Tamandua tetradactyla: one gene and its partners. The protein of the gene in region 3 purifies or fractionates together with the protein of the main gene of each other region. This does not show direct contact. Links are inferred from orthologs where the notes say so. Each region holds a gene or a part of one and is shown on either strand. Other genes may lie near its edges.

Evidence for each region.
Region 1: the proteins of MRGBP (region 3) and BRD8 purify together in Homo sapiens (affinity purification with mass spectrometry; 10 studies listed by BioGRID and IntAct, counting the BioPlex papers as one, with this or other methods). This does not show direct contact. The link is inferred for Tamandua tetradactyla from reciprocal best matches to the Homo sapiens genes MRGBP and BRD8.
Region 2: the proteins of MRGBP (region 3) and VPS72 purify together in Homo sapiens (co-immunoprecipitation; 5 studies listed by BioGRID and IntAct, counting the BioPlex papers as one, with this or other methods). This does not show direct contact. The link is inferred for Tamandua tetradactyla from reciprocal best matches to the Homo sapiens genes MRGBP and VPS72.
Region 4: the proteins of MRGBP (region 3) and MBTD1 purify together in Homo sapiens (affinity purification with mass spectrometry; 4 studies listed by BioGRID and IntAct, counting the BioPlex papers as one, with this or other methods). This does not show direct contact. The link is inferred for Tamandua tetradactyla from reciprocal best matches to the Homo sapiens genes MRGBP and MBTD1.

The regions. Positions count from the first base shown.
Region 1 is NC_135346.1:17,856,243-17,863,716, forward strand, and holds the start of BRD8 (bromodomain-containing protein 8), read right to left. Parts: upstream 3,010-7,474; 5' UTR 2,711-3,009; coding exon 2,692-2,710; intron 1,752-2,691; coding exon 1,655-1,751; intron 1-1,654. Other genes in the region: kinesin-like protein KIF20A, read left to right, coding at 3,243-3,287, 3,739-3,924, 5,081-5,170, 5,271-5,390, 6,037-6,175, 6,300-6,487, 6,574-6,706, 6,885-7,079 and 2 more. UniProt on the Homo sapiens protein: May act as a coactivator during transcriptional activation by hormone-activated nuclear receptors (NR). Isoform 2 stimulates transcriptional activation by AR/DHTR, ESR1/NR3A1, RXRA/NR2B1 and THRB/ERBA2.
Region 2 is NC_135330.1:4,371,186-4,378,442, reverse strand, and holds the start of VPS72 (vacuolar protein sorting-associated protein 72 homolog), read right to left. Parts: upstream 3,004-7,257; 5' UTR 2,910-3,003; coding exon 2,793-2,909; intron 1-2,792. UniProt on the Homo sapiens protein: Deposition-and-exchange histone chaperone specific for H2AZ1, specifically chaperones H2AZ1 and deposits it into nucleosomes.
Region 3 is NC_135327.1:60,344,886-60,352,839, forward strand, and holds the start of MRGBP (MRG/MORF4L-binding protein), read left to right. Parts: upstream 1-4,935; 5' UTR 4,936-4,963; coding exon 4,964-5,111; intron 5,112-5,232; coding exon 5,233-5,354; intron 5,355-7,574; coding exon 7,575-7,656; intron 7,657-7,954.
Region 4 is NC_135332.1:32,355,635-32,362,943, reverse strand, and holds the start of MBTD1 (MBT domain-containing protein 1), read left to right. Parts: upstream 1-4,298; 5' UTR 4,299-4,324; coding exon 4,325-4,432; intron 4,433-5,750; coding exon of another isoform or gene 5,751-6,140; exon of another isoform or gene 6,141-6,556; intron 6,557-6,582; exon of another isoform or gene 6,583-6,820; coding exon of another isoform or gene 6,821-6,841; intron 6,842-7,036; exon of another isoform or gene 7,037-7,289; intron 7,290-7,309. Other genes in the region: UTP18 (U3 small nucleolar RNA-associated protein 18 homolog), read right to left, coding at 1,519-1,617, 4,088-4,200, 5,751-6,140. UniProt on the Homo sapiens protein: Chromatin reader component of the NuA4 histone acetyltransferase complex, a multiprotein complex involved in transcriptional activation of select genes principally by acetylation of nucleosomal histones H4 and H2A.

The DNA of each region.
Region 1 (7,474 bases), on a different chromosome or scaffold from region 3:
CTGGTTTTCTCATCTATTGAAATAACTATCTGACTAGCAGTTATACGTACCTTTCATAAAATGAGAAAACACACAAGGAAATAAATACAATTTATTTTAAACAGAAAAATTTTGAGAAGTCTAGTATCTTACAAGATTCTTAAAATTGAAAATGTGCATATCTCAGATCTAGCGATGTCACTTCTAGGAACTTATCCTATAGAAATACTGATACAAAGAGAAAACTGTACCCCTAAATGCCCGTAGAAGACAAATGTAAAACAAATTATGGTATATCCAATGGAATACTACTGAGTTTTTAAAAAGAATAAGATCATATCTAGTGTATTGACAGAAAAATACCCACATACTGTCTTAAATGAAATATCAAGCTAAAAACTATGTATATATGATGTTCCTATTCTTATTCAAAAAAAAATTTAAACATGTCCACAAACCACACATAGAAAAATTTATGAAAGGACATATCAAACTTAATGGAGACTACTCTAGAGTAAGAAGGGGAGGATATGGTGAAATCAGAATATTCATTCATTGCTGGTACATTTGCAAATCATCTATGTGATAAGAGATTTGTATCTGAAATATATAAAGAACTCTTACAACTCAAAAATAAAAAGATAAATAACTAAGAAATGGGCAAAGCAGAGTACACAAGTGCTTAAGTAGTAAAATGCTTGCCTTCCATTCAGGGGACCCAGGTTCGATTCCCAGACCTTGCACACCCCCACACCCCCCAAAAAAGGGCAGAGGATCGGAATAGGTATTTCTCCAAAGAAGATGTACAAATGGCCACTAAGCAAATGAAAAAATGCTCAATACCATTAATCATCAGGGAAATGCAAATCGAAACCAAATGAGATACCATTTCACACCCACTAGGATAGTTAAAAACAAAAGGACAAAAATAAGTCTTGGTGAAGATGTGGTAAAAGTGGAATACTCATTCATGCTAGTGGGAATGTAAAACTGTGGTTGCTTTGGAAAACAGTTTGGCAGTTCTTTCAAACTTAAATACAGAGTTACCATATGACCCAGGAATTTCACTCCTAATATACCCAAAAGAATTTAAAGCACAAGTTCACACAAAAACAAGAAAGATTGATGGCAACATCATTCATAATAGCTAAAAGGTGGGAACAATCCAAATTTCTACCAACTTATGAGCATACAAAATGTGGCTATCTATACATGGAATATACTTTTCAGCCACATAAAGGAATGAAGTACTGATACATGCTATATTATAAATGAAATTTGAAAACATTATCCTATGTGAAATAAGCCAGTCACAGAAAACCAACATGTCCAGAACAGGCAGATCAAGAGAGACGGAAAGTAGACTAGCTGTTGCCTAGGGATGGGAGTGGGGTGGAGGAAGTTATGTAGCTTGACTGTTAAGTGCTTCTCTCTGGGGTAATGAAAATATTCCAAGATTAGATTATGGTGATGGTTGCACAACTCTATGAATATACTTAAAACCAATGAGTTGTATTATTTATGGTGATTTACATCTCAATAACTCTGTTTAAAAAAAAAGATGCTTAAAGATTAATATATAGATTAATTAAATATAATTCATTAACTATATCCAACAGCAGGAAAAAATACCCAGCAGTTCTAAGACCCAAGACAGACATCATGGATAACGTACCAATTCTGATCTCCACTTCTCATTACAGAAGATGCCAAACACAGCTTTTCCCGGATGGACCATGGCTCTGTGGGGCCAGAACTCAACAGTTTGTGTTCTGAAAGTAGAGAAAGAGTATACAGATAACCAGAGACACGAGTTTTAAGCACCAGAGAACTAAAAGCCTAATACAAAACACCCAACTTGTTAGCACAAAGTAGGCTCTTATAGCACCAAATCTGGATTTTCGCCGTTAAAGCGAAATAGCTGTGTATCACGGTGCGGGGTGCGGGTGGGGGGTACTTATTCTTTGCATGAGAATTGCACGGTGTGTGGTATATGGGAGAACATTTGATTTCCTCAAAACCCAAGGCTTCAAGCTCCGCTTTAATAAAAGATAGGAAATGACGTATTAAGCCGAAAAAGTTTTCTCGAAAGCCCCAATTTTAAGAATACTTTCTCTAATTTAAAAATACAGGTTTATTTCCCAGGATTCCGAGCGGCTAGCTCCGCCTGCTGCCCCGCCTCCTTCTTAGCATAAAACTGTTTACTAGTCTCATTACCCCGCCCCCAACTGTCGGGCCTAAAAGGCCTTCTCTACCTATTAAACATAAGGAAAATAATTGAGATGTACGAAACTCAATTTTCCCGGTGGCAGAAAAAGCTCACGATTAAAAGACCCCATTTCCACTGCCTCACAAACACATTCGCTAGAAACTGAACTGATGTTTGAGACACCAGCCCCTCCGTATGATGGCCGAATCTGCGTCTGCACGCCCAAGTTTCTAGAGCGCCTTTATGCCTTCCTCCGCGGAGCTCCCTACATACAGGGATTCGCTAAATACTTCCCTTACGCCTCCGCTCCCTCCCTGAGACACAGGACCCTATACTTCGGGCCCCCAACCGTTGGCCTTTACTACGCCGTCAAGCGCAGGTCTCTGGACACCCTGGGCTCTCAGCCAAACCACCCCAACCACTCCCTAAATGTTAGACTGAAATCTGGTGCCTAGCCTCGGCTCTACAATGGCCTTCCGCTCAAAAGTAGCGCAGACACTCACTGCCCGTTCCTGCCGCCATCTTGGCCCCGAAGTCTACTATCCCGGAAGAGTGTGAGTCAGGTAGGACCGGATCCCGGAGAACTCTGGGAAATCGAGTACGGGAGTTTGTTCGCGATGACTCCTGGGAAATGTAGGTTTGTTTGTTTGTTTGTTTTTCCGACCCCCCCCCACCTCCCCCAACGGAGTACGCAAGTTAAAGTAGCGTTGCTAAGGAAGGACAGGGGATGGCAACTGAAGCCTCAGGCTTCTTAGGAAATGAAATGTCTAGGGGTTACGCTAAAGGGTTAAGCCGGACGAATCCGAAGTGACTCGATTCCAAATTTCCGACAGTTGGTAACCCGGACCCACGTGAGAGTGGAGAGGTCAAATAGAAGCAGAAGTCCCCTATTTCGCCCGCCTCCCTTCTTTGCGCTGATTGGTAGCTGCAGGCTCTTTTGTCTGATTGGCCGAGTGAACGGAGCGCGTAATTTAAAACAATGTATCAGTAACAAAGCTGCGCCTCGTGGGCGGAGTTGTGCTGCGGACCGCTAAGGTCCAGGATCCGCAGCTGAATGAGTGAGTCGGTTCCGGAGCGGGAACGAGTGTCGCGGCTTCAGGTAAGTGTGCAGCTCGACTGGAGCCCGGGTTATCAGCTCTTGATTTCGCAGAACGGGCTTTCAGAAGGGGGCACCGCCACCATCTCTTTTTTTCTTAATACCTTTGCCCTCGTGGTGGACTTGGGAAGAGGTTGGAAAAGGAGCCTGGGGATCCTGACCTTTGACTCTGCCCGTGCCCCATAGTACGGAAAGGCGAGGTACCCTACTGGCCTTCTAGTTTTGGAGGTGTATCTCTTTTCTTTCCTATTCAAGGTCGGAAATGCCTCTCCAGAAAGGTTTCAAAGATTAACTCCTCCTCTCAACCCCTTCCCCGTATTTGGAGGGAAAAGGGAATAGGAATTCAGGCAGGCAAACCAGGTTTCCAAGGGTAAGGGGATTGCTTCTTACCTAGAATTTGCAACCCCTTCTGTCCTTAAAGTTTTCCTCCCTACCCACTCTTGTCTCTTTTCAGACCAAAGCTGTCCCTGCCGACATGTCACAAGGGATCCTTTCTCCACCAGCCGGCTTATTGTCGGATGAGGAACTCGCAGTTTCCCCTATGTTTGAGTCTACAGCTGCAGATTTAGGGTCTGTGATACGCAAAGACCTACTGTCAGACTGCTCTGTCATCTCCACTTCCCTGGAGAACAAGCAACAGGTAACAGAGTTGGGGCGTGGCTTGGGGTAAGAAAGTGATATCTCCACCCTACTAGTTGTCTATACAGGGTGTTAGGTCAAAGGCAAGCAAAACTGAGATTCTGAGAGATCGGTTCAAAGTGAAGGGTAATGACCAGTCAAAAATGTAGAGTTGGGTTTCAATAAGAAGAATTAGTATTAGCATTGCATTAATAAAATACCATCATGTCCCTCCCAGTCCTGTTAAATAATTTGCAAAAGGTCATACTGCCATTAAGTAGGTGAAATGTACACTCAGGTTTTAATAATATCAACCATCATTACGATTATTGAGACTTTCTTTTTGTTAGGCCATGATTTCTCAGCTGCAGCATTATTGACATCGGGGGCTGGATAATTCTTTATTGTGGGGGACTGTCTCGGAAATTATAAGATGTTTAGCAGCTTTCCAGGCCTCAACCCCCTGGATGCCAGTAGTACTAACCAACTGGTGACCCAAAAAAGTCAGACATTGCTAAATGTCCCTGGGAGCTTGGGGAGGGGTAGGGGGAACGTTTGCCCTGCTAGAGAACCACTGTACTAGACAGGCCCTATGTTAAACACTGAATCTACATTGTCACATCTTGTCTTCAAAAGTCTTCTTTCTCATAAAGGGCAGGAGCTTTGATGATAACCCTCACTATGAACTACTAGAGCCTCTTAAATTCCTGAGCCATGATAGGCACTAAATATCTGTAGAATGAATGAGGTGGGTGCTATTATTAACCTCATTCTACAGATGAAAAAAACTGAGGCAGAGAGAATTTAAAGAATCTGTTTAAGGTCTCATAGTTATTAAATGATGGGATTAGGACTCAAATTCAGGTGTGTCTGCCTTTATAGTGCTTAACTACTGTGCTTTGCCCTAATATCACATTCTGACTTTCATACCAGTCAACTAATTCTGAGATAATCAGTATGGCAATGAACAGTGGCAGGATACTGATGAGATAGGGAAGAGTGACAGAGTAGTGAAAAAGTCCATATGAGTTGGGATGATTGTGAAAGCAAAGAGTACCTGCAGAGACATTTGGGGTAGAAGGGGGTAGAATCACTAGCATGATTCCTAAGAACGGTGCTATGTTTGCCTATCTGCTCAGATGATTAATCTGTTTTTTTGGGTTGAAATTCTGCCACAGGTTCCATCTGAGGATAGTACCGAGAAAGTGAAAGTATACCTGAGGATCAGGCCCTTGTTACCTTCAGAATTGGAACGACAGGAAGATCAGGTGAGTATCTGAGGAGGAAGGACTCAAGATGGAATGATGTAATATAGAAGTAGTTCCCAGGAATGCTTCCTTTTGTGACAACTGTTTTCCCCACCCACAGAGCTGTGTCCGCATTGAGAATGGAGAGACTCTTGTTCTACAAGCACCTAAGGACTCTTTTGCCTTGAAAAGCAATGAGCGAGGAATTGGCCAAGCCACCCACAGGTTCACCTTTTCCCAGGTATGAAGGTTCTGGGCTGTGAACAAAGAACCAGCATCTAGGGACAATTTCATTTCCTCTCTAGAAAGAACACTTCTTTACTTGACTGTGAGATCTTAAGTTGTGTGTGTGACTCTCTGTATGTTCATGTGTATATAGCCATGCATGAGTTTGTATATGTACCTATATATATACACGCATATAAATACACACATGTACACATCTACAGTTTGGGGAGGGGTACTGTTATGTGCTAGTACTGTCTGAAGTACTTTATGTGCATTAATTCACGACTCTATTGTTGTGATTATTATTGTTGTTAATCCTATTTTCCCCGCAAGGATACTGTGGCTCAATGAAGTAACATATATGGTACAGTAGGACTTGGATCCAGAGCCATCCATCCCTAAAGTTCATTGTGAACCATTATTCTGCCTCATTGAGTGTGTAGCATTCCAGAAGAATTTGTTGATTTGGATGAAGGATGGACTAGCAGAGAAGTGGTTGGATCGTTAGTATTTAGGGGCAAGCTTGTAGCACTGTAGGAAGAGGCTGTTTGAAGTTGTCTCCAGAGCCAATCACCCAAGAATGGAGGAATAAATCTGCACAGGGGGAGAATGGGTGATGAAGGGTGGACATACCACTGACAAATTGGCTTTGTCTCTAGATCTTTGGACCAGAAGTGGGACAGGCATCCTTCTTCAACCTAACTGTGAAGGAGATGGTAAAGGATGTACTCAAAGGGCAGAACTGGCTCATCTACACATATGGAGTCACCAACTCAGGGAAAACCCACACAATTCAAGGTAAGTAGAAAAGCCTAAAAGGGTTGCTAGCTGGCCTATGAGGATGTTATCTTTGCCTTTTAATGTTCTGAGTTGGGGGGAGAAAGGTAGCTGCCTCAGTTGTCCATCTCTCATATACTTCCAGGTACCATCAAGGATGGTGGGATCCTGCCCCGGTCCCTGGCTCTGATCTTCAATAGCCTCCAAGGACAATTTCATCCAATACCTGATCTGAAACCCTTGCTTTCCAATGAAGTAATATGGCTAGATAGCAAGCAGATCAGGCAGGAAGAAATGAAGAAGCTGGCCCTGCTAAATGGAGGCTTACAAGAGGTGAGGTGTTAGTGTTCATGGAGGCAAGGGTGAGGGTACATATCTTTGGAAAATTTTGGACTTATCTCTTCTCTGGGCCCCTCCAGGAGGAGCTGTCCACTTCCCTGAAGCGAAGCGTTTATATTGAAAGTCTGCAGATGGGTACCAGCACCAGCTTTGACAGTGGCATTGCTGGGCTCTCCTCTACCAGTCAGTTTACCAGCAGTAGCCAGCTAGATGGTATGTACCATAATTGGTCTCTTTGCCAAGTAACAGTAGAAACTTAGTCTCTGCCCCAACAGTTGCCAGGGTTCAGACCATAGGTTACAACCTGAGTTCTGCCTTCCAAGGCCCCTGCAGGCCAAAAGGGAGATGGACTGCTCTAGAATTAATGCCCTGTACATTGCTCCTTCCCCAGAAACAAGTGACCGATGGGCACAACCAGACACAGCCCCAGTAAGTGTCCCAGCACACATTCGCTTCTCCATCTGGATCTCCTTCTTTGAAATCTACAATGAGATGATCTATGACCTGTTAGAACCACCTAGCCAGCAGCGCAAGAGGCAGACTCTGCGGCTGTGCGAAGATCAGAATGGCAATCCCTATGTGAAAGGTATGGGAAGACGTAGGAAATGTCATGAACACTGGAGGGGGTTTGGGGGAGAAACTAGGAAAAGAGTTGATTGAGTGTACCCATCTTATGCCCTTCTCTCCTTTGGCCTAAAGACCTCAATTGGATTCATGTTCAGGATGCTGAGGAGGCGTGGAAACTCCTGAAAGTGGGTCGTAAGAACCAGAGCTTTGCCAGCACCCACCTGAACCAGAACTCCAGTCGCAGGTAAAAGTCAACCTTTACTGTATTCCAGTAAACACAAGTCCTCTGCCCAGTCATGGAAGGTATACAATGACATTTTTTTCCCTTAACTTTTAGTCACAGCATCTTCTCAATCCGGATCCTACACCTTCAGGGGGAAGGGGATATAGTCCCCAAGATCAGCGAGTAAGTTT
Region 2 (7,257 bases), on a different chromosome or scaffold from region 3:
ATCATGGGTAGACAGAACAGCAGAAACAAAGGTGCCAAAGCAGGAATGAATATAGAATGTTTATGGAATAAGGATTTCAACCTAAGCAAAGCAGAGTGTTTCTGGTAAGAAGTCTTCCTGGCTGATTGCCTTTGGCTCCATAGTCTCCTTCAACATTAACTGATTACCTTCCAGATATGAAAGATTTGAAAAGGAGACTGCATTCAGTCTATGGCAAGGCTTAGTAGTCAGTCTAATAAACCTATGATTTTTAACCTGCAGGCCAGTGATTCTCAGTTCCCTCCATCCCCTTACTTGTCCCAACACTGATGATGAGTAAATTAGTATTGATTTAGTAAAGTTACTGAGAGAAGTATGTCTCATTCCTTAGATGTGTTGGGGCAGTAAAAGAGTTGGGTACTCCTACAATGGGGAACAGAGAGTCACTGAAGATTTGGAGGAGGGGAAAACTGTGTATAAAAGGTGTTTCAGAAAGTCTGGAGGTGGTTAGATGGGCTGGAGCAGCGAGCACGAGGTACAGCCTAGACTTAGGCGATGCCGTTTAGGGCTAAAATAGCAGCCACAATGCAAAAGAAGAAAAAGCACTTTGGGGAGGAAGAATCTACTGGGCTGGGTAGCACCTCAAACATGTGGCTCTCTTTTCAATCTATGATGCAGACTAATGGGCTAACCTTGGTACACTTGCAGCCAAAACAAGCAAACAAGATGCTTTACACTCCAAGCCAGTCAAAATTCCATCTTGCACTGATGACTATCATTTCTTCCCACGTGATGTTTGTGAAAGACAGCCTGGGAACATATTAATCCCCTGAGTTCTAATCTGGTATTAAGTCATATCACTACAGGGTAGTAGTTCAACTGCACATTAGCTTAATGCTCAATGAAATGCTTTCACTAAATTATGGGTTTACCACCATTTCTTTGGCTTTTATTTGAGGGTCCTTAATAGTCATGATTAGACAAGGGAATTTTTTTACATCACTTACAAAACCCTGTTACTTTATACATCTTATAGAAGGATGCTATGATAAATTCCTTTTAAGATTTAATACTGAATAAGTTTGTCACTCTTGACAAACTTACATGCTTCTTTCTTACAAAAATAAATAAATAAATTCAGGATTTGGCTGCCAGGAAACTCACAGCTAAATTTACTATCAATTGCTATTACCATTTTAGCATAGGCTCCTGGTACAATTACTTCTCATCTGTCTCTATTTTTACTGTTCCTACTTTTTGTGTATAGTGTAAGCCTCCTTAAACTATTTTTGGAAGTACAACTGGTACATATTAAATAACTCGTAAAATGACAAAAATAGGAAAATGGGGAGAGGGGACTTGGCCTTGTAGGAGGGATGAGACATTTCTATTTTAACCTAGTTGGTTAGGGTTATGTAAGTAACGATTCCCAGTCAGTCATCAAGTACTGTGGGTTATAGTTCTTTAATTTCTTTGTATCATCTAGTCCATGTTTCCCTACTTTCTCTGCCACAAATTCAGCTCAGGCCACCATCACCTCTATCTTTCCTGGATTCTACCTAATCTAGTTTCCCTGCCTCTAGTTTTGCCACCTTTGAACCATTCTCCTCCTTAAAGACTGATCTGTTTAAAACAGAAATTTGATCATGCTATTCTGATGAATCTCCTCAGTCCTCTGAAGAGTAAAACTCCTGAACACGGTTCTCAAGGCCCTACACCATCTAGCCCAGCCTCCTCCCTCCAGCCTCACCAATCTTCATTCTCCTTCATGCTCTGGAGGATGACTTGCAGATTCCAGGCCAGACCAGGATCTCAGCGCCTTTACATATTCTACTCCATGCCTTCTGGAGACTGTTTCCTTTGCCTTATTCCCAGCCCTACTTCTCTTCATCTAGCCAAAGCTTACTTTTCAAACTATTCTCAGCTTAAACATCACACCCCCGGGGATCTCAATCCCAAACAACTCTGGCTTCCATGATACCATAGCCCTCTATGCCTGTCTCTTATTTTAGTGCTTATCATACAATTTTTAGAATACGTTAGCTGTTAACCTGACTAGTTCCCCCACTGGGATTTGGAATATGTAAGAATAGAGCGGTGTTTTTAATACTTTCTGTTCCCCTAGAGCTTATCATAATGCTTTGTATGCTCTGGGTGCTCAGCACATAATGAACAGATAGATTCGGTCAATAAAATTTAACGAATGCCAGTCCAGTCCAGACACCGGACTAGTCCCACTGGTCTTTTACTGTTGAACACGGGCCATCACGGAGTTTACAATCTAATAGGAAAGCATTAACATGTAAGCAAACCAAATTTAATTACAAATTGAAACATGTTCTATGAAGGAAACAAATGGAGATACTTTTACAACAGTTAAGGAAAGGTTATTTAAGGAGATATTGAGACTTTTAAACTGAAAAAGGAGTGGGCTAAGCCCCTTTACTTTTGCGGAAGGGTCCTTTCTACATCTCAGGTGAATAACCAAGCAGTTAACCAAGGAATATATATCGAGCGACCAGATGTGCCTTGCGTGTGCTGGACGTCAGAAATGGGGTGAGACATGCAACTAGAGAAGTAGACGCTTGGTTTCTGCCACATGTTAGGGTCTCCCACCGAGAGCCTCTCCATTCCTCAGCCCACCAACCCCGTCCAGGACTCTCCCTTTTGGACTACCCCCCCACCCCCTTCTTGAGTATCAGCTTCCAGGGCTTCTCTCTGTTACCCGCTCCCCACTTCTTTGTCCGGGGTTTGTCCCTTCAGGATTCCACTTTTCGCTTCCTCCCCTCCCTCTTCCTGGGCCCGGCTCTTGCCTCTGTGAAACCCCCATAAGTCGTCTGGTAGAACTCATCTTCCTCCTCTGCCTCCAGGAGCCCAGAAAGCCGGTTCCCCGCTGTCTTCCGGGGTGCTCGGCCCCCAGCCAAACTCATACTACCCACCGAGGCTGCGCCCCCACCAGCATCCCGTCACCTAGCTCGACTCGGGACTCGGCGCTCGACACCACTACCTGCGGATGGCCGTGGGCGGCAGAAGCGGAACGTGTACAGTCAGAAGCAGTAGAGCATCGAGGAGCTCTTAGCCCCGCCCCCTAGGCCGAGCTTTACTCTTCAGCCCCGCCCACCCCGGGCGGAAACCACGCCCCCTGCTCTAGTCCGCCAACTCGAGTGACGGAAAAATTCCACTTGGAGACGCTGACGCCCCACCTACTACCGTAAGTCCTGAATTTGGAAATCAACCAATTTTCTTTTAGAAGAGGTCCGTTTCCCTTTGCTCCTATTCGTTTTCCACTCTGCTACCAGTAGGAACTTTTCTAAAAACCCAGACTGGACTCTGTCACTCTTTTGCTCAGAAACCTTTTAATAACTCCCCACCCTCATGAAATAAGGTGCTAACTCGAGCCAGAGCAGTAACCGTGGTCAAGGGCACAGCGTTAGAGCCGGACGGACCTGAGTTCGAATTTTATCTAAGTTCATCTAGTTCTGTGACCTTTGGCAAGTTGCTTTACCTCTCTGCCTTTGTTTTCTCATCTTACAGATGAGACATACTTGTAATACCTACCTGTGGAGTCTGTGCTGTTATGAAGATTAAGAGATAATTCTTGCAAATGTCTTAGCACAGTGTTTAGTAAGCATGTAGTAGATATTTGTAGGTCAAAACTACCTTCATAATTTAGCTTTCCCCTGCCTTTCTAGACTCACCTCCTGCCACATCACTACATTCATCCTATTCCAGCATCACTCCCCTAAGACCCAATTCTCTGGTATGCCCCCATGTGCTTCCTTCGCCTTTGAATCCCTTGCCTTTCTCGTCTAAATACTTATTCTGAATGCAGTGAAGTCTTCCCTCACACTCATCCCTGACTTTTGAGGTACAGATCCTGTAACCAAGGGGATCATGCCTTCTAGATTTTCTGGAGTATCTTCTAATTTCATATCATCTGTGGTATCGTCAAGACTCTGTGTCTACTTTTTTTCTTCCCCCCTATTATTTATTTTTATCCATATGTTCTACTCGTCTGTTGACAAAGTAGATAAAAGGAGCATCAGACACAAGATTTTCACAATCACACAGTCACATTGTGAAAGCTATATCATTATATAGTCATCATCAAGAAACACAGCTACTGGAACACAGCTGTACATTTTCAGGCAGTTCCCTCCAGCCTCTCCACTACATCTTGACTAAAAGGTGATATCTACTTAATGCGTAAGAATAACGTCCAGGATAACCTCTCGACTCTGTTTGGAATCTCTCAGCCATTGACACTTTGTCCCATTTCACTCTTCCCTGTTTTGGTCGAGAAGGTTTTCTCAATCCCTTGATGCTGAGTCTCAGCTCATTCTAGGGTTTTTCTCAATCCCTTGATGCTGAGTCTTAGTTCATTCTAGGATTTCTGTTCCACGTTGCCAGGAAGGTCCACACCCCTGGGAGTCATGTCCCATGTAGACAGGGGTCCGTGTCTACTTTTGTTCCCACTTTTTTATTCTGAAAATATGGTTGTCAAACCATAGCACTTATACATACTCTATGGTAACACCTCTACACATTATCGTAATGATTTATGTGTCTGTCTCCCTCATTATTCGTGATCTTTTTGAGGGCAGGGATTTTGTATATTAGGAACTCTCTACAGTGCCTGGGATATAGTTGGGGCTAAATAATGTTCCTTGAATGAATTAATAAATGACAAGTTGAATGGTTATGGCATCCATCTTCTTATTCTTGCTTCTCATTTGCTCTTGCCAGCCTCTTGCCCCTTCATTCTGACCTTGGGAACTGTTCTAAGTCACTAAAGGAAGTTTTTCTAAAGTCCTGTGGGCGTATGTGTGCACATGCATGTGCAGGTGCCCGTCTGTATGTTCATGTCTCCCTGAACCCTTCTTTGAGGTCACCAGAATGCCCCCTCCCTTCCCAAAGTATGTATTGGTGAACTCCCTTCTCCACTTCCTTGGGAGCACCAAGCCAACTTGTCCTGCACTGCCCCTGCTTCCACACCCTGCCACGTCACTCCAGTTCTGCTATGTCAGGAATGTTACTGGGGATGAATGGCTCCATGACTCAGAGAGTACCCCAGGAATGGAGTGGGAGTGAGCACAGAGACAAGGTTTAGGGGGGAAAGATGGGTGATACCTGCTTCTTAAACACCCCTAGCCCCATTTCTTGAATTTTGCCTTCATTCATTCATATATTCAGAGCACAGATATTGGACAATTACTCTCTGCCAAACACCATTCTAGATGCTTGAGAAGTGAAAATGGGTAAGATGTAATCTTTACCCTGAAGTGGTCACAGTCTTGTGAGGGAGACAAAAACAATACAAGGTGGTAAGTATAATAGTAAACATTTTCTGGTACATAAAGGAGAAACAAAGACTCCTAAGGAGCTACAAAAGAGGGATTTCTTCTTCCAAGAGGGATGAAATAGAATTTACTTTTTTTTTTTTAAAATATGGAACGCTTCACGAATTTGCATGTCATCCTTGCGCAGGGGCCATACTAATCTTCTCTGTATCGTTCTAATTTTAGTATATGTGCTGCCGAAGCGAGCACGAATTCACTCTTTTATCAAAGTGATAGATTAGATTCCAGGGAGAAAAGCCCTCTGTTTGACCTACTGCCTCTGTCAGTTAGGGCTTTATTGGTCTTTTACCAATTGTTAATCAGAAACAGCTTTACATCTACATCAAATGATTGCTAAAGAAGTAATTCAGGAAATGCTAACAATCTCATGCTTTAGATGGAAACAAGGATAATTTACTCAACAGGTATTTATTGAACACCTACCACGAATCAAATCCTTTGCTAGGCAGTGTGCCCCCACCCTGCTATTCCCTATGGTGTTTCTTTGGGGGTGGGTATTGCTATAGCCAATCATAATATAATTCAGTACTTCACAATTTCACTACTGTAGAATTAGGGGTGGCAGTCTAATCATTTGAAGCTTTTCGACCCAAAGAAGGAAAAATAATCCAGCAGGTGGCAGCAAGAAAACAATTATCTTGGATCTTGGTGGGAGGAGGGGTAGAAGGCCGATGTAAGTATGTTGGGGATATTTTATGGACTTTTAGGTTCTAGGTTCCCTTTCAACAACTCAGAAGACATCAGGATGGAGGATAACTAGGCCATCTTGAGGGCTGTAAAACCTGGATATTTTCCATACCTCTTCATTTCTTCATTCTACAAATAACTTTTGAGCCCCAACAATGTAGTCACAGCGAGGAATTGGAGGTATGAGTGACCCAAACACAGTCCCTGCTCTCTAGCAGTTTACAATCTGTTCAGAGACTGTACCGAACCTCGAGGGCACTTTGTTAAAACTGAGTAGACTTAGTGCGAAGACTAGACCATGAGAATGGGGGAATTTCTCTATGTCTAAAGTCCTTTGGAACTCAGAGACTCGAGAGTTGGAGACTAAAGCCTTGAATCGCGGGAAGATTGTACCATGGTCTAACTGCTTTCTGTGGCTTTTTTCCCCCAAGTGTCCATACTTCATTTATTACATATTTACATATTTACTGAACGCTGTCACTGTGGCCAGCATCGTGTTGGAAGCAAACCAAACGTAGATGTGCACAGAACGCCATTCGGAACTAAGATAAGCACGCACCTTAAACTAAATAGTAAACAAGGCGGTAACGCCGGAAAAGAGTCAAGATGGATCCTTGGTGACACGTATTGTTTTACGATATGCAACTGTTTAACGTCTCTGACTCGGCACCAGCGCTGCTCTCCAGAGCTCTTCGAGAAGTGGTCCCCCACACTCTTGCCGAAGTTCGGAGAACGCAGTCCAGAGCCGGCAAAGAAGGTTCCTAGACCGACTCGCCAAGCCTCCGTAAGAGAGGTGAGCCGACCGAGGCGCGCCTGGCTTCCACCCGAGGATTCGTTAGGGCACGAGGAACCCGCCTCACGTGATCGGTAACAGCCTCGCGATTGGCTCGGCTCCCCTCAGGGCCGCCCACCCCTCCGCACCGAGAGGGCTGGAACGCTGAGATCAAACAGGCGCATGCGCAGTGCTCGGATTTCCCTTGACACCGGGAGCCGAGCGGTAGGGTTGGGCGATTAACCCGCTGTGGCTGAGGAAGAGGGGGAGGGGGCGGTCTCTCCGCCGGATTTATCCCCCCGCCTCTTATCCCTTTGGGATTGGTGGGCCTGAACGTGGGTCGCGGCAGCTGGCTTGAGCCTAGTCCCTTGTGAAGGTGGAAAGCAGCCTCCTTCGGAAACCGGCTAAAGTTGCGGAGGGGGGGGCTCTCCCCCTGTGCCGGCGGAATGGTGCGGCCCT
Region 3 (7,954 bases):
GAGGCTCTGACTTGGCAGGAGGCAGCCAAGAAGACAGGACAGGATGCAGCTGGCAGGGCCCCTCTTTCCAGCATATCAAGTAGCTGGCCAGGAGACAATCCATGCAAAAAGACCACCTACCCAGATAAACTTGAATTCCAGGTAAATAGCAAACAATTTTGGAGTAAAACTTTGTTTCAAACATTGCAAGGGATATACAACATTATTTGTCACCTGTTGAAACTCCAGTTTAAATGCACTTTTTGTATTTTGATTTGTTAAGTCTGGAAATCCAAAAAAGGAGCCTATAATTCCCACCGCCTGTCTGGAATGAGTGCAGGTGAGTCCAGAGCCCCAAAGCTTTCCACTTGCCCTGGGCAGGTGGAGTGGTGGGCAAGGTGGAGGTCCTACCAGGGGTGCTGTGGGGGTCCCACAGGTGACTCCAGAGCCCCTGGAGGTGGGACAGTCCTGCAGGCCATCAACGCAGATGCCTGCCCTATGCAAGGAACTGAGTGTCTTCAAAATGCTGGGAACGGCTCCAAGGAACAGAACCGCCAGCAGGTTTCTGGGCCAAACTGCCACTTTGGGTCCCCATAGCAGATGGGGACACCCCTGAAGATTTGATACATCCACTGAGGGCCGCAGCAGCTGGCCTGGGCCCCTGCTCCTGCGACCCCACGCAGCCCAACCTCTGATTTCTTTGAGAAGAGAAATGTCCACTTGGAATGGAACAGAAGGGCCACAGTAGGACAGGGAGACCAACCCCTCCCCTGGCCACCATGCTTGCCCATGACAGGGCAGGGATGGTCATGGTTAGGGTCAGAGACTCTGGCCCCTCAGCCTGGGAAGGAGCCCGGGAGCTGCCCTCGATGTCCCAACACCCAGAGCTGCCATGGCCCCGGCTCTCCAACATCAGCGCAGCCACGGGGGGCCGTGGGCCAGATGGGGGCTGGGAGCCCCGACCCCTCAGCACGCTCTGCTCTCGGGCGCTCCCACACCTCCTTGTGCCTGGAGGAACCCCCTCCTTGTTGCTTTTCTTGTCACCAGTCACTTATCCTCACATTATAAGATGATGTCCAAACCTCGCAGGGCCACACGGGGCAGAGCGGAAGCAGGAGGATGGGGAACAGGGGGTGGGGGGTGAGGGCCTGGGAAGGTGACCTTAAGGACAGGGGTGGGGGATGGGGGAGGGGGCTGCTCATGCCGAAGGGGGAGCCTCAGAGAGGCAGCCTGGGAGAAAGGATGAGAAAGAATAAAAGATTGTGGGTCAAGAAAAATGTGCTTTGTATAAAAAAGAAACTTTGAAATGAGATATAAACATAACAATTAAACCTTTCTTTCATTTGAGAACCCCCAGAATGGAAGGCAAGAGAGAGACTGGGTTGAGGAGGCAGCTGGGGAAGGCATGGGAGCCCCTTTCGTGTGTAGTGGATTTTGAACCACACCGACGCATCATCTGTCCGCCATGGAGCCATGGTAAAGCACAGGAGTGGAGGGAGGTGGAGGGGAACACCCGGGAGGCTGACCCAGGGGGTCAGGGCAGAGGCAAGGAGCCCAGGCCCAGCCCAGTCACCACCTCCAGCCACACCAGGGCTCCCCCATGACAGCTGAATGCCCTGGGCCACTTATGCCCCCTCTCTGGGCCACATCTGCCTCATTGCAGATTGCCAGCAGATGGGGACGCTGAGGCTTAGGCGGTCACTGGGCTTACTGGGCAGGTGGGGCTGACCCAGAGGCGGCCTCAGCCAAGAGGCAGTACTCAGCACCACCCACTCTAGCCCCGGGCAGCCAAACCCCCATCCACACACCAGAGGAGAATGCACTGTTGCTGGGCCCATTTCAGAGGGAAACTGAGGCCTGGAGTCTGGGAGGTAGGTTCTTATGGAAATTTAAAAACCAGGCGCATTTTCCCACATCTCCCTGTGGCCCCCAAGCTGCTGAGCTGGCCCGATGCGCCCCGTGCCCCACAAAACCAAAGGCAGAAGTCAGGAGAGCCCCAGGGCGGGGGGCTGCTTCCTGTGGGCCTGTGAGAGTGAGCCCAGGACCTCTGGGAAGACGCGGGGGCAGTGGAGTGGGGCCGAGCCGGCTCGCCAAGAACCCTCTGCGGCAGAAACCGAGAGCCACGGAGCGCCCCGAGAAGCGAGGCCAGAGGCGGCGAGGCCAGCAGCACACGGGGCACGGAGCTCCTGGGGGGCGGCCTCAGTTGGAAGGCGGGGCTGAGAGCAGGAGCGGAGGCCGGAGGCGGGTCAGCTTGGCGCGGGAGGGGCGACAGCTGCCAAGAGGTCCAGGGCAGGAGGGGCGGGGCGGGGCGAGGAGAGGGGGCGGGGAGAGGGCGGGGCCGCTAGGGCTTCCTCAGGCTTGAAGACCGGCCGGAGGCCCCGCCCCCGACCGCCCTGCCCAGGTCCGCCCCGGGTTCACCCTCGCCCCGACCCTTCTCCAGTTCACTCCCCCCACCCCCCGTACCCATCCGCATCCTCCATCCTTGCCTCCGACCCCATGCAAACTCATCCCCCACTTTCAGGCCCCCAGTTCAACCAGGCCCCGCCCCACTCCCAACGCACCCCCCCCGTCCCCGCCCATACCCCGCCCCCTGCCCACCCAGACCCCACTGGGCCTGGCCTCCCCCCCAGTGCACCAGGCCCCGCCCCCGGCCCTGCTCGCAGATCGCCCGGCGGGTCCCCACCGGTCCAAGCTCCAAGCTTCGACCTCATCCAGACCCCGCCCCGCCGTGGTTTCTTTTCCGGACTCGCGGTTGACTCCCACCCAGAGTTCCAGACTGCGTTGCCCGGGGTTGATCGGTCAACACCGGCGGGGGGCAGCTGTCGAGTGCAGCAGGGTCCGGGCGCCCCTTCCCTCCGGTGCACAGGTGGTCGTGGGCCCCTTGGTCCAGCTCCGGCCCAGCAGGATGGTGCTAGCCCAGCGACAAGTAAAGCCTGTTGGAACCTCCCCTCCCCACTGGAATTGTCCTTTTTTTTCCTTAACAGTTTTATTAAGATACAATTCACATATCATACAATTCACCTGTTCAAAGTGCACACTTCAAATATTTTTAATATTGTCATAGATACGTGCATTTAACACCACAAGCAACTTTAGAACATTTTAATCACCTGAAAAGAAACTCCGTGCTCATTAGCAGTCACTTCCCATTTCTCCCAAGCTCCCCAGCCCCTCCCGCCGAGGTAACCTCTAATCTGCCTTCTGTCCTATGGATTCTCCTATTCTGTAAATTTGAGATAAATGGAATCATACAAAATGTAACCTTTTGTGATGGTGTCTTTTGCTTCTTTCAGTATGCAATCTTCGAAATCTATCAATGTAATGTCATGTATCAGAACTTCTTTTCTTTACATGGCTGAATAATTTTTTGTTGGATAGATAGAACACATTCTGATTATCCATTTTGTCAATGTCCACGTGGGTGGTTTGTTCCTCTCAGCTATTGTGAATTATGCTGCTGTGATTTTTTGAGTGGACATTTGCTTTCAGGGGACTTGCTGGGTCATGTGGCAACTCTGTGTTCAACATTCTGAGAAAGGGCCTATTTTCCACAGCAGCTGCACCATTTTACCTTCTTACTAGCAATGCACGAGAGTTTCTACTTCTCCGCATCCTCACCAACACTTGTGATTGTCTCTTTTTTACTGTAGCCATCCTGATGGGTGCAGGTTGTATCTCATGGTGGTTCTGCTTTGCTTTTCCCTAATGGCTAATGATATTCAGCGTCTTTTCATGCTTTTTTGGCCATTGGTAGATCTTTAGAGAAATGTCTCTTCAAGTCCTTTGCCCATTCTTTAATTGGGTTATTTGTCTTTATATTTTTAGCTTCAAAAGTTCTTTATATAAGCAGGAGAGTAAGCCAACTCTTCACTTTGTAGTATTTCAGGTATGTGAGGTCAGCTATCAAATTCTCCACTCCACCTGCTCTCGGGGCTGAGCCTTCCCAGCTCCTTCAGCTGTTCTGAGATAGTTTCCAGACCTCTGACTGGGTGGTCTGTGGCCATCCTCTTCTGTTGGCCACGTCCCTTTTAAAATAAGATGCCCAGTATGGAGTCCCACACTGTGTCCTAAGTGTCTTCTAAATAGCATGAGACAATTTTCTGGATCTGGACAGTGCATTTCTATTCAGTATTAACGTGGCACTGATCTTTTTAGCAACTGCATCAAACTGACGACTCAGAATTGCTGATAATGCCTTCTTCAAGTAACATTTCTTGAATTCCTGTGATGTCTCAAGATGTATGCTAGGTGCGGGGAATATAAAAATAAGACATACTTCCTGCCCTCAATGAACTTACAGTGAGCATGAGTTTCCAATCAAACACTTCCCAGTCAGTTCAGTCTCCCGTATTCTATACTTTTTGCATCTAAATGCTCACCTTCATTGTTTAAGAGAAAGCTATAAAGATCAAAGGAGAAGGTGGAGTTGTAACAGTTAATAGGATTTAACAAATGAGCACGATTGCTGAATCATTACACTGATATTTCTCTTAGTTTCCAGTGTCTCGGAGCAGCTAGAAGTAAAAGCCTAAAATTGTGGAATTGTAATCCACATCAAATTCTGAAATTTGTTCTACAAGTAATTGTGTTGTGCTTTGAAATTTATTGCTTTTTTATGTTATTATTCACAATAAAAAAATTTTAAAGAAAAAACAAAACAAAACAAAAAAAAGTTCTTTATATAGTGTGGATACTAGACCTTGCAAATATTTTCTTCCGTTCTATCCCGAGGAACCCCCACTACCCTAGGGCCAGAGCAGGGCGGCTGGAAACGGTGGCCCATCCACAGCCGCTGGACAGCACTACGCGGCGCGATGCGGCCGCCAGGGGGCGCCATGAACGCGTGCCGGAGCCCGGGCCATTAACTGCGCCTGCGCTGGAGCGCGATCCCCAGCGCGCGCCTGCCCGAGCGCGCGCCTGCGCCTGCGCCTGCGCGGGCCCGTGGCCGCGCCTCCTCGCGCGGGGCTGGTGGCCAGCCGCGGCCATGGGGGAAGCGGAGGTGGGCGGCGGCGGCGCCGCGGGCGACAAGGGGCCGGGGGAGGCGGCAACGAGCCCCGCGGAGGAGACGGTGGTGTGGAGTCCCGAGGTGGAAGTGTGCCTTTTCCACGCCATGCTGGGCCACAAGCCCGTCGGTGAGCGCGCCTGAGGCCGCGCACTCGCGTGGGGGCGGGGCGGTTCCGTAACCGTCGGGGTGGGGGCGGGGCATGGGGCCAACCCTCCCCGCCGACTTTGCCCACCGCCCCCTCCTCGCAGGTGTGAACCGGCACTTCCACATGATCTGCATCCGGGACAAGTTCAGCCAGAACATCGGGCGGCAGGTCCCTTCCAAGGTCATCTGGGACCACCTGAGCACCATGTATGACATGCAGGCGCTGGTGAGGCCCCAGGGGCCCGCCCCGGGGGAGGCCGGCAGTCCCATCTTTTCTGCCCCGCCGGGTCCCGCGGCCCTGCCGGGGATATAGCTTCCGCCTGGGAGGGACGGGGCCGCTGCACAGCGTAGCGCCAGGGAGGGGGCCTGCGCTTGTGAAAAAGCCAAGCCCTCGTGGCTGGGAAATGGGGGATTGCTTGTCTGAGAGCTGGGGCTGAGCCTGAGGCCTGGGGGAGGGCGTCCCAGCAGCATCAGGGGAGCCTGCCAGCACATTCCCGGGTGTTTGGGTCCTACTCAGCCACGGGAGGTCCCAGGGAAGACGTGGGCAAGAAGGAGGCAGGGTCCCATCTGGTAAAGGTGGTCACAGGAGCTTCTGGGGAACCAGGTGGGCAGGGTTCCTGCCCTCACAGAGTTGCCTGCTGGAAGGGATGGGGAGGATTAGTGGGTCAGGATGCTAATGAAGAACAGCATGTGGCCAGCGACCTGGGGGTGCAAGGGGGATGGGGGCCAGGAGGGGTAGGAAGACCTGCGCCCTCCAGGCAGAACCTGGGGCCATAGCCGCCTCCTGACTGGGACATCTTCAAGGCTTCTGCCTGGGGTCTGTTGTACCCCCTTTCCCGGCCTTCCCTAGCTGTACATGGGAGCTGAGCACAGTCACACAGGGAGGCAGGGGGCCCGTGGCAAGCACCCTGAGACCTGTGCTGCTGTCCCTGTGAGCAGTCCATGATGAGGCTATTCTGAGCCTGGGCAGAGCCAGACCCCAAGTGATGGGCCGGTCGGCCAGGTGCATGGTCTGCTGGGGTCTGGAGTGGGTACAGGACCCGACCTAGCCCTGAGGTCTGGTTCTGCCCTCTGGCGGAGGTGTCCCCTCTCCCCACTGTGAGTCAGGACAGTGGGCACCCTCTGCACCAGCCCCTGTCATAGTGAGGCACTCGTGGCAGGGGGGCATTTGTCCAGGCCAACTGGATCCAACCGAGCCCCAACTCCAGCCCTGTATTAGGCTGGAGGCCAGGGTGCAGAGATGTAGGTGCGGCACTGACTCCCCGTCGTTGGGATGCTCCTGCCACAGTGACATGGATCTGAGGCTGCCAGGCCCACCAGTATGAGGGACAGACTTCTGGCTTGGTGGGGCCTCACACTGAGAAGTCTAGTCTCTGGGGCACTCAGAAAGCTGTCAATGCCCGCTCCATGGCTACTTCCTGTTCCTGGGGCAGCTTATTACATTCAGGGGCTGGGCAAGACTTTGGGTCATCACTTTTTTAGGCCATGGCACCCCAATATGACTGATTCCAGAATCACTCAAGATCATATAAAACGCGGAGCCCTGGCCAGCCCCCACCACCACCAAAGGGAGACAGATTTCAGGGGGACTGCTGAGTGGAGACCCTGTATCCTGCCTCCACCTCCCCACCAGTCAGGGATGCTTTCCCTTCTATCCAGCCATCCTGGTACTTGTGACTAGAGCCCAGTAGGTGTCCCCGGCTGACCCTGACCCACTTGCTCGGTTGTCCACCCTGGTTCCCGGTGGGCATGGGCGGAAGCTGGAGGGCCTCCGGCCTGGACCCTCAACTGCCCTGTGTGTGCTGCAGGTTTTGCCCAGCTTGTGCTCTCAGAATATACACTCGTGCTGAGGCTCATCTCATGTGGGCTGGGCCCATGCCCTCCCCTGAGCCACCCTGGGGGTGTTTGTGGGCGGGTGGGCTTCAGCCTGCCCTCTCAGTTGTCACAGACCCGAGTCTCCCCTCTGAGGACTGCTGAGGCTTTCATGTCATTCTTGCCTTCTGTGGGTCTGTCTGCCCAGCCCAGGCCATCGTAGGCTGTGATGGTGGGAAGAACAGGGCCCTCAGCTCTGTACCCCAGGCCGTCCTCCTCCCTTACCCCTGTGCCCCTCACCCCTGTGCCTCAGCCCACCCTCCTCCCTTACCCCTACACCCCAGCCACCATTATCCCTCACCCTTGTGCCCCAACCCACCCTCTTCCCTCAGTCCTGCGCCCCAGCCCTCCCTCTTCCCTCACCCCTACACCCTTCACCTCTGTATCCCACACCCACCCCTGCACCTCAACCCACTCTCCTCCCTCACCCCTGCACCTCATCCCTTCCTCAGCCTTGCACCACATTTATTTAAGATGATTGAGCATCATCACTGCTCCTGAGTTTTTAATCATTGGCTGAAATCACATTTTTTCTTTGTTTTTTAATAAAATAAAACATCGCATTTGACATCAGCATGAGTCTGAGATTCTTCCATTCCCAAATCCAGAGAGGAACTTCGTCCTTCCTGAAGAGATCATTCAAGAGGTCCGAGAAGGTAAGAGTCGGCGAGCTCGGGTCTGGGATTAGAAAAGGCAGGTGCGGGTGGGCCACGGTGGCTCAGCAGGCAAGAATGCTTGCCTGCCATGCCAGAGGACCCGGGTTTGATCCCCGGTGCCTGATGCCTGCCCATGTAAAAAAAAAAAAAAAAAACTCCAGATCCCTCTTGGGGAGCAAATGTTAAAATACAGTTTGAAATGCTAGTGGTAAATGAAAGCGAGGGGTAAGGGGTATGGTATGTATAGTCTTTTTTTTCTCTATTATCATTTTATTTCTTTTTCTAAATCGATGCAAAT
Region 4 (7,309 bases), on a different chromosome or scaffold from region 3:
CTATCTTTCAAAAATGAGGGCAAGATTAAGACATTACCAGATAAACAAAAGCTGAGGGAATGTGGCACTACTAGATCAACCCTAAAAAAAGATGCTAGAGAGGTCTGTTGGTTTAAAGGAAAGGATGGCAGACAACAGATTAAAACCACATGAAGGGGCGGGCCACAGTGGCTCAGCAGGCAGAGTTCTCGCCTGCCACACACACACACACACACACACACACAAACACAAAAACACATGAAGAAATAAAGACCTCCAGTAAGAGTAATGACATGGGCAAATATAAACGCCAGTATTATTGTATTTTTAGTTTGTAATTCTGCTTCTTACTTCTTATAGGATCTAAAAGGTAAATACATAAAATGCAACAATGAATCAGAGGTTTTGGACTTAGAATGCAATTTGTGACAAGAATTACATAAAGGTCAAAAGCTAGAGGGGCATATTTGTGTATACTAATGAAGTCAAGTTGTATCAAGGCAAACAAGATTATTATAGATTTAGGATATTAAATTTAAATCCTACAGTAAATATAAAGAAAATTCTGGAGAATATGTGAACTAATAGAGACAGAAATTAGAGTACAGGCTATCAAGGACATGAGCCAGGGGGAATGGGGAATTATTGCATAATGAATATAGGGTATCTGTTTGGGGAGATGGGAAAATTTTAGTAATGGAAGGTGGTGAGAATAACAGTATTTTTTAATGTGATTAATTCCATTAATTAGTGATATAGGAGTGGGTGAGAAGGGAATATTTATGTTGCAGATATGTTTCCACAATTAAAAAAAAAAACCAAAACAGAAATTTCAGAATGTGGAACATTCTACAAGAAAACTGGCCTGAATATTTTAAAAAATCAATGTCAGAGGCAAAAATTAAGGCTGGCTTAGGTTAAAAGAGATTTTAGAAACATAAAATATAACACAGGAACCTTATGACAACTGGAGATATGTGTAAGATTTGATAATGATATCTTGGATAAGAAGGGAAATGCCCTTGACCTTTGGCAATGCATACTGAAGAACTTAAGAATGAAGTATTCTGTTTTCTGCACCTTATTTTCACTTCAAATAAATCAGGAAATCATATACACACACATTCATACACACACCCCTCACATACATAAAGCAAATGTGTGCAAAAATGCTAAAATATCATCCAATCCAGGTAGAAAGTATTAAAGGTGTTCAATTTTGAAATTTTTCATATTATAAAGTTGTGGGAAAGAGATGGTTTACTACATACAAATAATTAAACAAGTACACAGTATCATCACTGGTTATATTTGAGTGGTGAGATCACAAAAAACTTCTTCCAAATTTCCTTCACGCTTGTTGTATCCTCGCTCTCCCAATTTTAAATTTAATCATTTCTTCCAATAACAATACTTTTAACTGTTTCAAAACAGAAACTGACTACTCAAAAACCTACAGAAAACAAAGATTTGCAACTCCAAATAAACTACTGGTTATAAAATTATATCTTGGTGAATCACATGAAAAAAGACACTTACTCTTCTTTAAGTCTCTTTTGTAACTGTTCTTTTGAAAGTCTACTTTCACTGGCATTTTTCATCATATCTTTCCGAAAACGATTGTTCATCATGTCAACCCTATAAAAAACAAGAACAGCATGCTTTAAATGTTTAAAGATTCAACACAAATAGTTGTTGCCTTTACCACTTAGATAAAACTAATTTCACAATATATATCAAGATGTATAAGATGCAGAACATATCATATGCATATTCTCCATTCTTCTTCAAACAAAAAAGAATCTCCAGTATTTCAGATCATGAGAGAGTTTATTCATGAGAGAGCTAATATCTCAAATTCAAAATCAATTATCCTGGCACAGTTTATACCATCAACCAAATTAAATTCCAGGTAATCAAGTTATATGTACAAAAAACAAATCTTAAACTGTTAAAATCTGTTTTAACAGTAAATTAGTAAAAATAGTATTAAAAAAAGATTCACAGATCAATATAAAAATTTAAATATGGAGTTTCAAAAGACATTACAAAACAAAATTAAAAGGCCAACAGGAAATTAGGAAAAAAATTTGCAATAAATTCGACACAAAAGTTTTAAAATTCACAATATGTAGGGTTCTTTTACATTAAAATAATTAAGAAAGTCTCCAATAAATAAATAAGAGATACTAAAGAACTCTTATAAAAGAAAATACCAACGACTAATAGCAAAGATGGTTTTTCAACACAAACTAGAGATTATTTCCCACCCATCAAACTGACAAAATCTGAAAAACGATAACATTATCTATGCAACAGGAGTGATGAAATGGATACCTTTTGATGGGAAAATAACTGATAGAACCTTATCATATGTAGTCTGGCCATATTTATCCAAAGCTCTAAAAGTGCTCATGCTTTCTGATCAAGGGATTCCACCTCAGAGAATCTTTTTTAAGGAAATAATCAGGAAAGTAGACAGAAATTCATGCACAAAGATGCATTAATTTATTAAAGGGAAAAATAAAAACAATCGGTCCAATAATAGCTATGTAAATTAGGATTAATTCGTACTATTGGTTATAATACAGCCCTTAAAAATGTTTATAAGGTTTTTTTTAAAAAAAAGAAAAGAAAAATAGGGAGCAAATACTTGAAATAGAGTGATAATTAGAAAAAGACAACATGCTAAACTAAATATACGGTACATTTTCATCAACAAAAGCACATATCACATGTGCTAGCTAACCTTTTAGCCTACACAGTTCCAGGCACTGTGCCAAGAGTTCTATTTGCACCATTTCATTTAATCCCTACACCCTTCTGATAGTTATTATCATCATCATTTTACAAATGAGAAAAGGTAGGTTCCAAACTTGCTGAAGGACAGTTAAGAAATGGTCAAATTCTGAAGGAGTTTAAAGTTTAAAGTAAGGGTCATGAAACAAGAAGTCTAATAATTTGAGTATGGTAGTCCAAATCACAGAAAAAAGAAACACTTCTACTCTTTGGGAGAAAGGGATAATTTTATAGCAGCTAAAGGAACCCAAGAAAGTTCAGAAGAATAAACAGAACACAAACTTCCTCATCAGCATAGAACATGCAAAAGTGATATCCTCCAATTCCACATAACTAAAGAAACTGTGTATGATCTGGAGATGAAAATATAACTTTAAAAAAACTTTCTGGGATTCCTCAGTTTGGCTTGGCAAGGCAAAGAGGTCCTAGCAGAAATAGAGTTGAGGAGCCCAGCAAAGTTCTACTGAGGAATTTCAGCCAGTGGAGTTAATAGTGAAAGTACAACTTGCAATGTGATTTCGAACATCTCTTAGGGCATGAGAAGGCAGCAGTTTGAACAAGCAAGTCAGGTAAGTGCATGATTCTATTTCACAAGGCAGAGTTTCCATAGGCAGTAATTACTGCTACTCTCTTGTTCTAGAAAAACAATAGTAGGTCACTTCACAGTATATCAATTAAAGCCCCACTTGTTTCAAAGCAAGTCCAATTTTGCTGAAGTTGTAACTCAGAAATTAAAAATTAACAAATGATTATGATTACTGAATCATTCTATAGATGTTTTTTCTTTCTATATTGTAGACTAACCTAATGTCAATACCTGAAATTACTGAAACTCTTAGCCCAGTGTATACTTCCTATTACAGTGGTCATTCTACCCTAGCCTCAGCTCTGTTTACACATGTTATTTTAATGGTAACAACACCATCTCCCTTGTTTGAATCCATAAAAAACCCAAACTCCTTAAATTCAGGGAGACAGATTTTGAGCCTACAGGCCATGTGATCTGCTTCCCGCTTAGCAATAAACTCTCTCTTTGAAATTCCAAAAGAAAAAAAAAAGGCCAAATTAGGAAGAAACTTAGGTCTGAGTTCTTCAAACACACTGCTCTCATTGTTATTCTCTACAACGAAGGAAAAAAAGAGAGGGAGAGAAGTATGCCAAAATGTTAACAGTGGTTCTCAGCTTTTCTTTTCCATAATTTCCTACACTTTTCAAATTTTCAATCACATTTTCATAAGAATGTTTAAAACCTGCAAAAGAACTTTTCAAGTGTCAAGAAGAATTCTGGAGAAAAAGTTAAGCAACTCACATTTCCTCATCTTCATCTTCCTCATCCACCCAAACTGGCTTCTTTTGAGGTGGAAAAGTATCCTTTGAGTCATTCTCCACTTCTGAATCATCAGAGTCTTCATGCACATGAATCTAGAAAATACAAAATGTCCTCACAATGAGTTTTTCACACATCTTGTAGTCAGGTGGTTTGAAGAATGCAGTCCTCTGATGAAATAATGGGATGGAATGCCACCAGCATGCTACAGAGCAGAAAATGAAAAGACCAGTAAATGGCACTGCAGCCTGGACAGACAAGGAAAGATGGAACTTAGAGAAAATTAACATGCTAAAAGAAAAAGACCAAGTAAGACAACAACAAAAGGTAAGACAGACGAGGAAAGGCACAGGAAAAATTCCAGAACTACAGAAAATGACAAATCTAGAGTCAAAAATAACATAATTGTCATATTTCTTATCTCATACTCTTAGAACTATTCCTTCACTTCTCTTAACTCTTTTTGAGCTTTACTCAAGAAACCACTATGAAATCTAAACGAAGATCACAGAATATCTCTTGGAATAAGCTCAGCCTTCCTGAAACTGCATGGTAGAAATGCCCAAGGGATTTCTAGTTACTCTATTTACAGATATACGCAAAGCCCAACAAATCCCATCTCCTACAAGAAGTCTCGACAAGTCCACTTCAGGTATATTTATTCCTTTTCTTCACTGACTATCGAAGTGTCATACAGTCTGTTTTAAGATTAGACATCAGCAATTTCTCCCATAGCACCCAAAGGCTTTGGAAATCAGATCGAACTTGACCCTTGTTAGGTCCGCATTAATTTAGCAAATAAATTGCGTAATTCTCGGTGAAGCTTTTCGGGGCGACCCTTTCTAAACTCTCACTGGCCTCCTCCATACCACTAATCACCCTTCCCAGAAAGCTTTTTTTTTTTTTTTTAACAATCTCTCCAGCCCTTGTTACTAACATATTTGAGCTCTTCTTATTTTATTGTCCGTCTCTGCCTTTGGTTTATAAGCTCCAAGAAAATTTTATCAATGTCATTCATTATGTGAACAATGCCTGGAACTCCCAAACTTGGGAGGAAAGCCATATAATAAAAGGAATGTTTAAAAAGTGTAAAAACGTATAGGCAATTACGAAGGGTTTGCCATTGCCAGAAGAGTATCTGGCACTCAACAAGCTGGCAAATGTGTTGAATCAACGATTACACAATGGTTAGAAAAGCTGGTATACAAGAGACTGTTAAAATACATTTTCCCAGGCCCGCGCCCAGGAATTCTGATTCCACAAATAAAATGGAACTCCGCAACCTACATCAACAAACACGGTAGACGACTGAGGAAAGTGATCAAGCATCCACGCTGGAAAGGACAGCTAAGCTGAGCCGCGATAAGATGCTCAGAACTAACTACAAGTTGAGCACCTGCTGCATACCAGGCTCAGTGGCTCCCCTGGAGGCGGAGAGAGGTGCGGTCTCCGCCCTCCGAAGACTTCGTCGGGCTCCAAGAGGCGGGGGACGCACAGCGGCACCCCCTCGGCGCCCACGTTCTCAGGCTCCCTCCCACCTGAGCGCTCCTCGCCGCCTCAGGTCACCCAGACTCCGCCCCCGGAGTCTAGCAATTCGCGCGCCCCGCCCGAGCGCACCCAGCCCGCGCGCCGAGGCCTCCCTTACCCGCGGGCCCCGCAGGCGCCGCAGTAGCGCGTGCTCGTCGTCCTCGACATCGCCGAAAACCAACTCCTCCAAGCACCGCTCCACCGCGGGTTTGTCCTCCTCCAGCGCCAGACGGTTCTGCTGCCGGAGCCGCCTCTCCTCCTCCGCCGTGACTGCGATCGCAGCGGTCGCCGCGCTTAGCCGGGCAGCGGATTTCCGCTGGGATGAAAGGGCAGGTTTTCGAGCTGGGCCGGCCGGCCTCGCTCCGCTTCTTCGGTCCGGCTTCATTCGAGTCCTTGAAGCTGGCATCCCTCCGGTTCTGCGCTTGGGTTTCATTCGGTTCCCTCGCTGCGGCGGCATCTTTAGGTTTGAGAAGAAACGTAGGGGCTCACGTGGAACCTTACAGCGCATGTGCCCAGATGCCTCACTTTCCACCGCCACTAGAGAGGCGGGAGGGGCCGGAAGGAGCCTGTGCAGCCTCTTAGCACGTGACCCAACACTCGGTCCCTACTTAACGCCCACTCTTCTAGGGAGCCCCTCCCCACGTGGGAGTTCCTCCGGGAGAGCCAATCTTCTGGGTGAAGGGGGAAGCGGCGTGACAGGGATGGAAAATTTTTCCATGTCAGCTTCGCAGTTGCAACATAGTCAAAGGAGTACAAAAAGCCAAAGTATAAACCAAGGTGATGGAATGAAATTTCTACTCTTCTGCTTTTTAACCCGTCGACTTAATCCACGTCCTGATTACCTTCTCCACCCCTGCGTCTTGGTACGACCCATAGAGTACGGAGCCTGTAGAGGGTCCCACGCTGGAAGAGAGAGAGAGGAGGGTATGTAGGGAAGTGGGCCAATCGGGGCGCAGGTCACGGCGCAAGCGCGCTGGGGAGGGAGGGCTATGCTAATGTTGTTGATATCCTGGGGCCACCCTAGTTAAAGGGGGGAAATCCGGGGGCTGCCACAGCCGCCGCCAGTCTGGGCCCAGCCGTGGGCCCCTTGTAGTCGCCACCGTCCCGCGGAGAGGCGCCTACCCCCGGCTCGGGGAGGGGGCGCCGCGGGTCCGGGGAGCACGGACATCCCCTACCCATGAGGCCCTGATGGAAAACACAAAGGATCTGGTGAGAACTGAGCGCGGCAGCCGCTTTGTGTGCAAAGTGTGTGCAAGGTGGGGGGACGCCTACAGCTCCCCGACCTCAGGGACTCCTACAGCTCCCTGGCCCCACTCCCAGGCCTGTCTCTTTATCCCACGCCCCCTCTACCTCTGGAGTCCCCCTCCCCCTACCGGCCGTTAAACGATTCAGGGTCTCCCCTCCCCCCATTCCCCTAGCCCCGGCCTCCCTGGGGTTCTCCTTACCCCTCTTCCACGCTCTGGAAAAAACATTGAGAAGAAAGTTTTTCTCTGCGTCTTGAGCCCCCTGCCCCCGCTCTGGAAGAGGAGTGGGGTGGGTAGCTGGATCTGGGACTCTTCTCTTTTTTAGCTTCTCAGAGTGGGAGACTGGAAGTCCACTTGGCTTCCGAGGGGACATAGTGTTGGTGCTTGGCGGGGAAAGGCGCCTACCCGCTTTGGGGCCAGTGCCGCAAGGCAT